3 linked regions of the Rattus norvegicus genome follow. The protein of the gene in region 1 interacts with the protein of each later gene in a pairwise test. Links are inferred from orthologs where the notes say so. Each region holds a gene or a part of one and is shown in the gene's direction. Other genes may lie near its edges.

Region 1 (3,755 bases):
CAGAAACAAATGAGTGACTTATTTGTTATGAGGAATATCTTTATATCTCAGTGAATTAAAGGAGCGAGTTTGTAATCATAGTTTGTGTTGGCAATGTTGTTGTACCTTAAGGCCTTTACTCTGATATCTTGTATGGACAAGGCAATAGTCACAGAACTAAGTAAGGACATGTAGTTTGTTCCTTTGGAAATGGCTAATCATAGATGTTAGAAGCTAACATCTATTCTAAGTATTTTGGATGTAATTAAAGTGACTAATGTGCATACTCAGTGCCATTGACAAAGGAATGACAAATTTCTGGGGGGGTTGTGGGGTTTTTTTTTTTTTGTTTGTTTGTTTTGTTTTTGCTTGATCATTGTTCTGGTTTTTATTTTTAAATTATTTTTCTTGGATATTTTATGTATTTACATTTCTTTTTTTATTGGATTTTTTAATTTACATTTCAAATGTTATTCCCTTTCCTGGTTTCTCAGACATAAGTCCCCTCTTCCCATCTCCCTCCCCTTCTATAAGGATGTTCCTCTCCCCATCCACCCCCTCCCGGCACCCCCACCCAACATTCTCTTACATTGGGGGTCCAACCTTGGCAGGACCAAGGGCTTCTCAACAAATCTCTAATAAAGACAAATGAAGTTTTAGCCAACCTGGCGCGGTAGACATTTTATTTGATATCATACACAGAAGGATAACTTTTTTTTAAAAAAAAGAACATTTATATAATAAAATTACTGCTTTATGACTTAATCATACATTGTAAAATATTCCTAAACTTTGTTAGAATTATCATATACATTTTTTGGCGATTATTCTTTGTTTTAGAGTCTTTGTATGTCTTTATAACCCTAAGTCACAGCACCTGGTTTAATATCGTCTATATAATTCATATGCAGAAAGTTTCCAGGAATGAATTAGCTGGTTCTTTGGCACTGGTCATGATCAATATCTTGTCGGTAGCCCACCAGGCCTTCAGTTGTCACACACCACAGCCATTATTAAGTGACTGGAGGGATTGATGACGGGTTGAGAAGCTATATGCAGTGCAGTCGTAGTCATATGTGACTATGACAGGCGGGTAAGCCTGTATCCTGTCTTCCTTTCTCTGAGAAGGCCCTGTCAGTTCTGCCTCTGCTTAAGAAGGTAAGAGGCTGGGACACCACTTATTTCAAGTTAAACGTATTGTTGCATTGTGTGCACATGAAGAAATAGAAAGATTAGAAAGATAAAATGGAGTGTCATTTTTCATTCCCAGGGAGCTGGGACTCAGACATAAACTTCAATAAAAGCCTGTGTGTCTGGTCCATCACTTAGATACCATTACCCAGGGCAGGTTTTCGCCTAATACAGGCCTGGTTTTGAAAGCCTGTTGACATTCTCTTTCTTTATCACATTGATTTAGAGTGTCACTCTCTGCATTCCAGTACTTACACACTGCAAAATTAAATAAGTTGTTCTTGAGCATTACAAAATACCATGCTTGTCACTGTATTATTATAATACTCTACATGGCTGCTGCGTTGAGCCATTGGAAAACAGAATGGAATCACCTTTCTCCTTCTTAGAGTAGTGGGGAAGATCAGATCAATGGTCTGCATTTTAAGTCAGTGAAATCATCCGAATTCAACAAGTGTTCCCTCCCCTTGCAAACAGAAATGGCCTTGTCGTATTTCCTGTAACGATTTTGAGGCAGACTCAGTCACTGTAAGGCATCTGTTCATGCCGATTTCCCATATTCATACACTTCCCTGTGATCAGAAACAGATCACAACATGCTAGTCCTCGAACTTACTATGATGTCCTAACATACCTTCATTGTCAAGCAGATGCCTAGGTTGACAGCGTAGAGAAGTAACTGGCTTTTCCCTGCTCCCCAGCGAACTGATCCAGTTTATCACAAGTGGGCCTGTTATTGCCATGGAGATCTTGAGAGATGATGCCATATGTGAGTGGAAAAGGTTGCTTGGACCCGCAAACTCTGGGATAGCGCGTTCAGAAGCCCCCGGAAGCGTCCGAGCCCTCTTTGGGACAGATGGCATAAGAAATGCGGCTCACGGCTCTGATACTTTTGAGTCCGCTGCCAGAGTAAGTTGTTTTGAGAAATATTTTCCTTCTGCTTTGTTTGGGAAATTGTCTTGTGTCAAAGTAAAACATTTCTCCTGCAGAGGACTTTGGGAGGTTTGGAACAGCTAATGATGTAGCCTGGAAAACCTGGTGAAGTTTTCCTAGGCTCAGGTACCGTTTCCAAGCCACACCCCCTTTTAAAACGGTTGGTCACAGTTGTCCAGTGCAGTTTTCTCAAAGTCTGACATTTGCTACCACCCATCTTTCTGGAAAAGATTAATTTGCCGAGGCTCGTGTTTGTGACTTAATTAAATTAAGAGTACTAGTTTATGGATCTATAGTAGATACTCCAAACGAAGGTTTCATTTGAGTAGTCTGTAATTCAGATGAGGCAGTGGTGTGAACTAAGCTGGTGACTAGATCTGGAACATGCAGCTTACATGAAGAAGCTAGAACCCTAGGTCTTGTTCTCGCAAGGTAGCTCAGTGGGTAAAGGCGCTTGCGGCAAAGCCGGATGTTCTGCTGTGTTACCTGGGGCCCATGTGGTGGAAGCAGAGAAATTTATTCCCACAAGTTATTCTCTGACCTCTGCCCATGCACATACACATAGATAAACATAAAAATGTAATTAAAAATTCCAAAGCAAGAAAGGTTTCTTTAAAAAAGAAAGAAAAAAATCGAGGTTTTAACAAAAAAAAAAATAAGAATTATCCTGTGAGGAGCTTGGATGTGAGTATTGGTAACAGCTTGTTTGTGACAATCCATGTTACAATATCATAGGTGCCCAGGAGATGGCTGAATGGACAAGACACCGTGTAGCCATCTGTGGTACCTGATTTGTCAAAAAGAAAGGGAAAAGAAATTATTACAGCAAGGAAATCTCAGAATATTTTTGTTGAGTGAAAGAAACTAGAAAAAATAGCATATATTGTATAAGTCTATATAAAATTATAGAAATTAACTTACAGTGACAAAGCAGGTTAATAGTCAATAATAATAGTTAATTATTAATTTTTAAGCGTTCTGCCAACTGAATCACTCAAATATATACAGTGTTTGAGTAAATTCTCTTCCTCCCGCTTGCTTATGCTTTAAAGAATATTTACATATAAAAGTAGAAGGGAAACCATTAGAGAAGAGGATGGGATAGAGGGAAAAGGGAGAGTAACGTGGGATTGGTAAGATCACAGTGCGTGTGGACCTCTATGAAAATGTCCCCAGGAGGCCTATTTTCTATATAATTAATGTATTCTAATAAAATATAAAATGTATTAGTATAGCATATTAACATATCTGTTATTATCTTTGACTTTTTTAATTGTAAACTTGAATCACGGTCTCACTATGTAGCCATAGTTGGCCTGGGACTTGTTCTGTCGGCCAGGGGACTTACTAGCCTTTTGCCTCTGTCTCCAGAATGGCAGGTTTGATCTTTCAAGTATAAATTTAGTGAAAAGAAAATACTCAGAGTCAGGTTTTGTTCTAGGTGTTTGGAAGCCAGTAAGATCTGCAAATTGGTCCTTTTCTTCAAATGTATAATGTTACAGTAGGTGACAAGTCCTTGAATAGTCACAGCTGGGATGGATACATGGTGCTGGTGGGGGTGTCAGGGAGAGCTTTGTAGAGGTGAGCCCATTCAGAGAGTCCTTTGCTCCTGGCAGATGTTGGAGCAAGGAACAGGTTTTTATGGAGAACCT
Region 2 (3,755 bases), on another chromosome or scaffold:
GAGTCTCTCACTATGTAACCTTAGCTGGCCAGTACTTGCTTTGTAGACCAGGCTGTCCTTGAACCCAGAGAGATACCTGCCTCTGCCTCCCGAGTGCCCGGATAAAAGGTGTGCACCACCATGCCTGGCCTGCGTGCTATCTTGATGCTGTTTTCCTAGGTATATTTTGAGTTACGAAGCTTCATTAAGCAATGCACTTTTTTTTACTTACGTCCATACGTATTTTAGTAATTACCATCCTGGGGAGGTGAGGAAATAGCTCAGTTGGTAAAGAGTTTGAAAGAAAGTATTATGATCTGACTTTGATCCTGAGAATCCATATTTAAAAATGAAGAAAAGGGTCAGGTGTGGTAATGCCTACTTGTAATCCCAGTGCTGGGAGAACAGGCAGGTGGGCTCTGGGACTCCCTGACCAGCCAGTCTAACCCCCTTGGCAAGCTTCAGGCCAGCGAAAGAGGCTGTATCCAAAAGAACAGTGAATGAATGGCTCCTGAGGAGTAATACCTGAGGTTGTCTTCTGGTCTCCACATGCACTTACAGGGACTCGCCCACACATACATTCACACATACAAACGTGTAAATACAAAAACTACTGTTCCCAAAAAGTTAAAATATCCTCATCCAGCACGGCCCTCTCCAGCTGTAGTTGATTTTCTTCATCGTATTTACTCTCTGTGGGATGTCCTGTCCCTCTATGAAGACTGGGTCACTCTGTGGCAGGTCGGGTCTCCAGCTATAGGGCTCTGGGACAAGCAGGTGGGACAGAGGTCTGTTGTGTTCTGGGCTGCGGAAATAGTACTATTTTACACACCCATTAATAGCATTCCACCTGCCCATTCCAGAATCAACAGTTCCATTTCTCCAGGAAACAGATCTGAGCAGGGGATACAGCTCAGTTGGTAAAATTGGCACTCAAGAAACCCTGGGTTCCATTCCCAACATTGTGTAAAACAGGACACAGGAGAACCGGAAGTTGAAATTCAGACTGCACCCATCACTCAGCAGTTAAGAGTGCAGAAGACCTGAGTTCTATTCCTAGCACTCACATCAGGCTGCTCACAACTGACTGCTTAGAACTCCAGCTCCAAGGGCTGCGTTATCGCTAAATGTTATCTCTAGCCTTTATTAGCACCTGCATTCATGTGCATATAATCACAGACAAGCACACAGATACACATGCCTACACATAATTAAAAATAAGAAATTGAATGTTATTCTTGCTACATAGTGAGTTTGAGGCCAGCCTGGGCTATATGAGACGCCATCTCAAAGATTTAAAAAAGGGAAGCTTAGAGTTTTATACCTCTAGTCTTTTTTTTTTTTTTTTTTTGGTTCTTTTTTTTTTTTTTCGGAGCTGGGGACCGAACCCAGGGCCTTGCGCTTCCTAGGTAAGCGCTCTACCACTGAGCTAAATCCCCAGCCCCTACCTCTAGTCTTAATATTTGGGAGGCATAAACAGGCAGATTGCTATGAGGTCAGGGCCAGCCTGGTCTACATATTGAGTAAGTTCCAAGACAACTAGCACTATATAGAGAAACCCTGACTTACAAAAAAAAAAAAAAAAAAAAGCAGAGATATGGCACTGAAAGGATGGTTTAGCAATTTAGAGCATTTCTGTTCCTACACAGGACCCAAGTTCATTTCACTGCACCCATATAGTGTCTCACAACCATTTGCAACTCATAACTTCAGTTCCAGGAGTCTGATGCCCTTTTCTGATCTCTGGGCTCCCAGCATACATGCATACAAACATACAGACAACACATTTATACACATGCTAAAAAAAAAAAGTGAAGAAGCTGGATGTGTTAGCACAAACCTTTAATCCCAGCTCTTGGGGAGGCAGAAGCAGCTTTATCTCTGGGAGTTTGAGGCCAGCCTGGTCTACACAGTGAGCTCCAAGACAGCCAGGTCTGTAGAGAGAGACTGTCTCAAACCCCACCTCCCAGGGTTCTTTTAATTGTGCGAGTGTAGGGTGTGTGCATTTAAAGTGCCGGTGCTGTTAGAGCCCAGAGGCATGGGGTCCCCTGTAGCTGGAATTACTGACAGTGGTAAGCCACCTCACATGGGTGCTGGGACTCCAGCTTGTCCTTGACTCTTGGTGGGTTTATTGTCCTTAATTCTTTGAGGCAAAAAGTAGAGCGTTGTCTGCAGACTGTTGTCTGCCTCATTCAGGTTTGCAGGCCTTCTCCTGTTAGAAACTTTCAAATTGGACTGAAGAGATGTCTCAGTGGTTAGAAGCATGTATTGCTCTTGCAGAGGATCTGAGTTCAATTCCCAGAACGCCCATTAGGCACAAGATGACATGTAACTCCAGTTCCAGGAAGATCTAACGCCCTCTTCTGGCCTCCACAGGCATTGTACTCCTGTGCACATCCTATTCCACAGAGACAGTTTCTTTGTGTAGCCCTGGCTGTCCTACAACTTGCTCTGTAGACCAGGATGATCTGGAACTCGGAGGTCTGCTTGGCTCTGCCTCCAGAATGCTGGGATTAAAAGTATGTGCCATAACCTCTTGGCATATGTCTTAGGGTTTTCATTTCTGTGAAGAGACACCATAACTAAAGCAACTCTTATAAAGGGCAGCATTTAGCTGGGGCTGGCTTACAGGTTCGTTCTGAGGTTCAGTCCATTATCATCATGGCGGGAACATGGCAGCATCCAGGCAGGCATGGTGCAGGAGGAGCTGAGAGTTCTACATCTTGTTCCAAAAGCAAACAGAAAACTTGTCTTCCAGGCAGCTAGGAGGAGGGTCTCAAAGCCCACCCCACAGTGACACACCTACTCCAACAAGGCTACTCCCTGAATTAAGCATGTTCAGACCTCCACAGCACATATCCGTAATTTAAAGGAATGCAAATAAATCTTAAGAAGCCTTTTGACTTTAATATGACATGTCTTGTGAGCTAGTTGAGTTCTTTCTTAGATCAGTAGTTCTGTGTGACTTGTAGGGATGTAGGACTGTCCCTCCTGACCCTTTGCCTTCCCTCCTCTCTCCAGGCCTTGTTGCTGCTCCATCGACGCTTGGCCATCTGTGAGGAGCAGCACTTGGTAGAACCTGCTGAGCTCCTAGTCCTCCTTAACCTTTCATTTGTGTACCTGAAGCTAGACCGCCCTGCTATGGCCCTGCGCTATGGGGAGCAGGCTCTGCTCATTGACAAAAGGAACGCCAAAGCCCTCTTCAGGTGTGGACAGGTGAGTTGAGGGTAGTGGGGAGAGGGGCTGGGACAGCAACTCAGTAAAGTACTTACCAGGCATGCAAGTCTGAGAGCCTGAGTTCATTTTCCAGGACCCGCAGTGCTAGAACCCAGCATTAGGGAGGCAGAGACAGGTAGACCCCTGGAGTTCCCTGGCCAGTCAGCCTACATGAATTGGTGAGCCCTGGATCCCGAAGGAGGACCTTATTTTGAAAACTAAGGTGGGCTGTTCCCGAGACGGAAGCCAGGTTTACCTCCGGTCTCCATTCACATGTGTGCTCCCACACAGAGCAGGAGGGCTCACGTGGGCTACTACCACAAATGCTAATCCCCTAATGTCTTGTCCTTTCTTCACAGGCTTGCCTCCTCCTGACCGAGTATGAGCAGGCTCGGGACTTTCTAGTGAGAGCTCAGAAGGAGCAGCCCTGTAACCATGACATCAATAATGAGCTGAAGAAGCTGTCCAGGTGAGAGGTGTGACCAGAGGCACAGTGAGACATGGCTGTGAGAATTGCAGTTCACCCAACCAACTGGACGGCAGACAGGCTAGGAATGTTG
Region 3 (3,259 bases), on another chromosome or scaffold:
CTATGAAAAGAAACCCTGCTTTAAAAACAAAGCAAACAACAACAAAAAGAATCTACACAGGGAAGACCAAAGGGATGGGGGACGGAGGCTGACACAAGGCTCCTAACACTTAGGAGGTGGAGGTCGAGGAATGGGGGTCTGAGGCCAGTCTTGCCTACATGTTGAGTTTAAGGCCAGCCTGGGACACATGCCAGATGTGGCAGCACACATCTTCACCTGGGTGGTAGAGGCAGGTGGGTCTCTGTGGGTCCCAGGCTAGCCTGGTCTATAAATCAACTTCAAGGCCAGGCAGGGCTACTCAGAGATTCTGTCTAAAGTACAAAGAAACAAAACTGAAAAGCAGGAAAAAAAAAACCTATGTAAGGGCTGTAACTCAGTGGTAGAGCATTTGCTAGCCTGCACCAGGCCATGGGTTTGATCCCTAGCACTAAACGAAAGTCCTAGAAATTGCTTTGCTAGTAACTTTTGGCACTCAAGGGCACCTTCTACCATTCATAGCTCCTGTGGGGAAAGAAATCTCATCTTCCACAGATGAGAAGGCTGAGAGAGTTCTGTAAAAAGAGATAATCGGGGTTGGGGATTTAGCTCAGTGGTAGAGCGCTTGCCTAGGAAGCGCAAGGCCCTGGGTTCGGTCCCCAGCTCCGGGAAAAAAAAGAACCAAAAAAAAAAAAAAAAAAAAAAAAAAAAAAAAAGAGATAATCATGTCTCACACACTCAGGAGGGATGACTACTTCAGCCTGAGAGATGAGAAGGCCTCCTGGGGTCCCAACATCTTAGTCCAGTCCTAAGATGAGGAAGGTCAAAGTTTATGGAGAGGGAAAGCATTACAGGAAAGAAACCAGCAGTAAAGCCAGGTGTGGCTGGGAATGTCATCTATGAGGTGACCAGCCGCTGGTACACAGAAACAACTGTGGAGTGTGGGTACCTAAACTACAGGCTGAAGGAAAGTTGGATGGCCAGCTCAGGGCAGCTGGTGGCTCAGGGTCAGCCTCATTGTCCCCCTTCTCTCCCAACCTAGATCAGCCCGGAGGAGGAAGAGCGCCGCAGGGTGAGACGAGAGCGGAACAAGCTAGCAGCTGCTAAGTGCAGAAACCGAAGAAAGGAATTGACAGACTTCCTGCAGGCGGTGAGCATCATCTGATACAGAGGGTCCCCAGGCCCGGAACCACCGAGCCTAAGAGGGGCCTCGGCTCCCAGGAACATAAGAGACCCAATAAGTTACTCTTCCACACTCTGCCTTCCTCCCTGTCCGAGGGGAAGTCCTGGAAAAAGGATAAGGGAAAGTGGCTTAACTATTGTTTGTCTTGGGCTTCAATGCAGAGTCCTAGTTGGTAGGCAAATCTCCTAAGACGCTTGGGCCTGATGGGAGTCATGCCCATTTTCTCCCAGGGGCTCATGGGAGTTGCAGTCCAGACTTGTTGGGGATTCCAGGCACAATCCCTACTCCAGCCTGAGGCTTGGAGATCTTTAGCCTTCATTTTCCTAACTTTCTGCTAATCCTGTAAAGGAGACCGACAAGTTGGAGGATGAGAAATCGGGGCTGCAGCGTGAGATCGAAGAGCTGCAGAAGCAGAAGGAACGCCTTGAGCTGGTGCTGGAAGCCCATCGCCCCATCTGCAAAATCCCAGAAGAAGACAAGAAGGACACAGGTGGTACCAGCAGCACGAGTGGGGCGGGTAGCCCACCGGGCCCCTGCCGCCCAGTGCCTTGTATCTCCCTTTCTCCAGGACCCGTACTTGAACCGGAAGCACTGCATACCCCCACGCTCATGACCACACCCTCTCTGACTCCTTTTACTCCGAGTCTGGTTTTCACCTATCCTAGCACACCAGAGCCTTGTTCCTCAGCCCATCGAAAGAGTAGCAGCAGCAGTGGTGACCCCTCCTCCGACCCCCTAGGTTCTCCCACACTCCTGGCTTTGTGAGGCACCCAGCCACACCCCTTGCAGGTGCTACCCGTTGTCATCTCCTTTCCCTGTTCATCCAGCAGGCCTGGACCATACCCATGCCCCAAACCAGCAGGTCTTTTATCTCTTTCAAGTAGAACAAACATGTTATGCTTTGATATAGAGCCAGCTTGGGGGTCCCCAAAGCTGCTCACTGTTTCTCTAGAGCTGGCCTATCATAATTTGCATACAGAGAAAATATGTCCCCTCTGCCAGAGTAAGCCTGGCAGCTCTGACTTTGTAGATCCCCAGTGGTCCTTTGATGCCTTGCAGACCACTTTCCCACACCATGTCACTTTCTTCATGTTATCCAGCCTACTCTAAGCCTAGATAGAAGGTGCCCTTTAACTAGCCTAGAACACTAACTCACACAGCACCAACAGCCAGCAGCACCAGGACACCCTGTAGGCTCCTCCTGATCAGGAGGCACCAACAGCTTCTGTGATGAGCTGAGCTGTACTCCCTAGCTCTGAGAAGCTTTTAGCTCTGGGGTATCCAAGCCTCCACAGCAAGGGCAGCTGCTATTTATTTTCCTAAAGAGACTATTTTTATACAAACCTTCCAAAATGGAATAAAAGGCTTGAAGCTCTAGTCTGAGTTGTCATGTTGGATCCAGAGGCTAAAGGAAACCATTTGGAACAGGAGCTCCAGGTTCCAGTCTTAGCTGTGACCTTGAAGAAACTGCCATATATGTTTTTGGACTTCAATATTCTCACCTGAAGAATGGGGCTACCTCTGTTCTGCCTGTACTGAGAGATTGAGAATGCTTTGGAGTGCAAGCAAAGAAGATTATCAATTATTTTCCCCATGGGAACCCACATTACTTCTGTCTTAAGGACTGGGGGCAGGGAAGGACGGCAGTATATCCTTCCACCATCTGACCAGGCGGGCTCAGTGGGCTTTAGGCCCCCAACACCTGCTTCCTGTCCCATTGTTTTGGACAGGAAGGAGCCTGGAAGGGAGCTGGAGCCACTTCAGTGGCCGGATTTCGGCCTGTCTTGGCGCCCATCGGGGGAGTTAGTGATCTACCACAGTCTCAAATCCCACCCCAAATCCAGGTGATGGGGAGTCAGCCCTAGCTCTGCAGCACCGCCGATGGGAACTGCACCGCATCTCTGGGTTTCCGCCCTCTTCCCAACCCCGGCGAGTTCCAGACACAAGCTGGCAGGCTTCAGGCTCTGCTTCCTTCCCAGTTTATTAGTCCCCACCCAACCACCCAGCAAGTCCCTCCACTTCAGTCTCCATTCCCCTGCTGCTCTGCCAGCAAGAGCGAGGGGCCCTCCTCAGTGCCAGGGCTTTTTCAGTCCATGCCAG

What was found. The genes of interacting proteins can lie anywhere in the genome.
Region 2: the proteins of Nme7 (region 1) and Fkbp6 interact in binary tests that used the Homo sapiens proteins (3 or more experiments, as listed by UniProt). The two-hybrid records come from large-scale screens. The link is inferred for Rattus norvegicus from reciprocal best matches to the Homo sapiens genes NME7 and FKBP6.
Region 3: the proteins of Nme7 (region 1) and Fosl1 interact in binary tests that used the Homo sapiens proteins (3 or more experiments, as listed by UniProt). The two-hybrid records come from large-scale screens. The link is inferred for Rattus norvegicus from reciprocal best matches to the Homo sapiens genes NME7 and FOSL1.

Annotation. Positions count from the first base shown.
Region 1 is NC_086031.1:79,224,730-79,228,484, forward strand, and holds part of Nme7 (nucleoside diphosphate kinase 7), read left to right. Parts: intron 1-1,871; coding exon 1,872-2,079; intron 2,080-3,755. UniProt on the Homo sapiens protein: Possesses an intrinsic kinase activity. Displays 3'-5' exonuclease activity with a preference for single-stranded DNA. Does not seem to have nucleoside diphosphate kinase activity.
Region 2 is NC_086030.1:26,962,600-26,966,354, forward strand, and holds part of Fkbp6 (inactive peptidyl-prolyl cis-trans isomerase FKBP6), read left to right. Parts: intron 1-3,000; coding exon 3,001-3,195; intron 3,196-3,554; coding exon 3,555-3,664; intron 3,665-3,755. UniProt on the Homo sapiens protein: Has an essential role in spermatogenesis. It is required to repress transposable elements and prevent their mobilization, which is essential for the germline integrity.
Region 3 is NC_086019.1:212,189,857-212,193,115, forward strand, and holds the end of Fosl1 (fos-related antigen 1), read left to right. Parts: intron 1-1,018; coding exon 1,019-1,126; intron 1,127-1,507; coding exon 1,508-1,924; 3' UTR 1,925-2,535; downstream 2,536-3,259.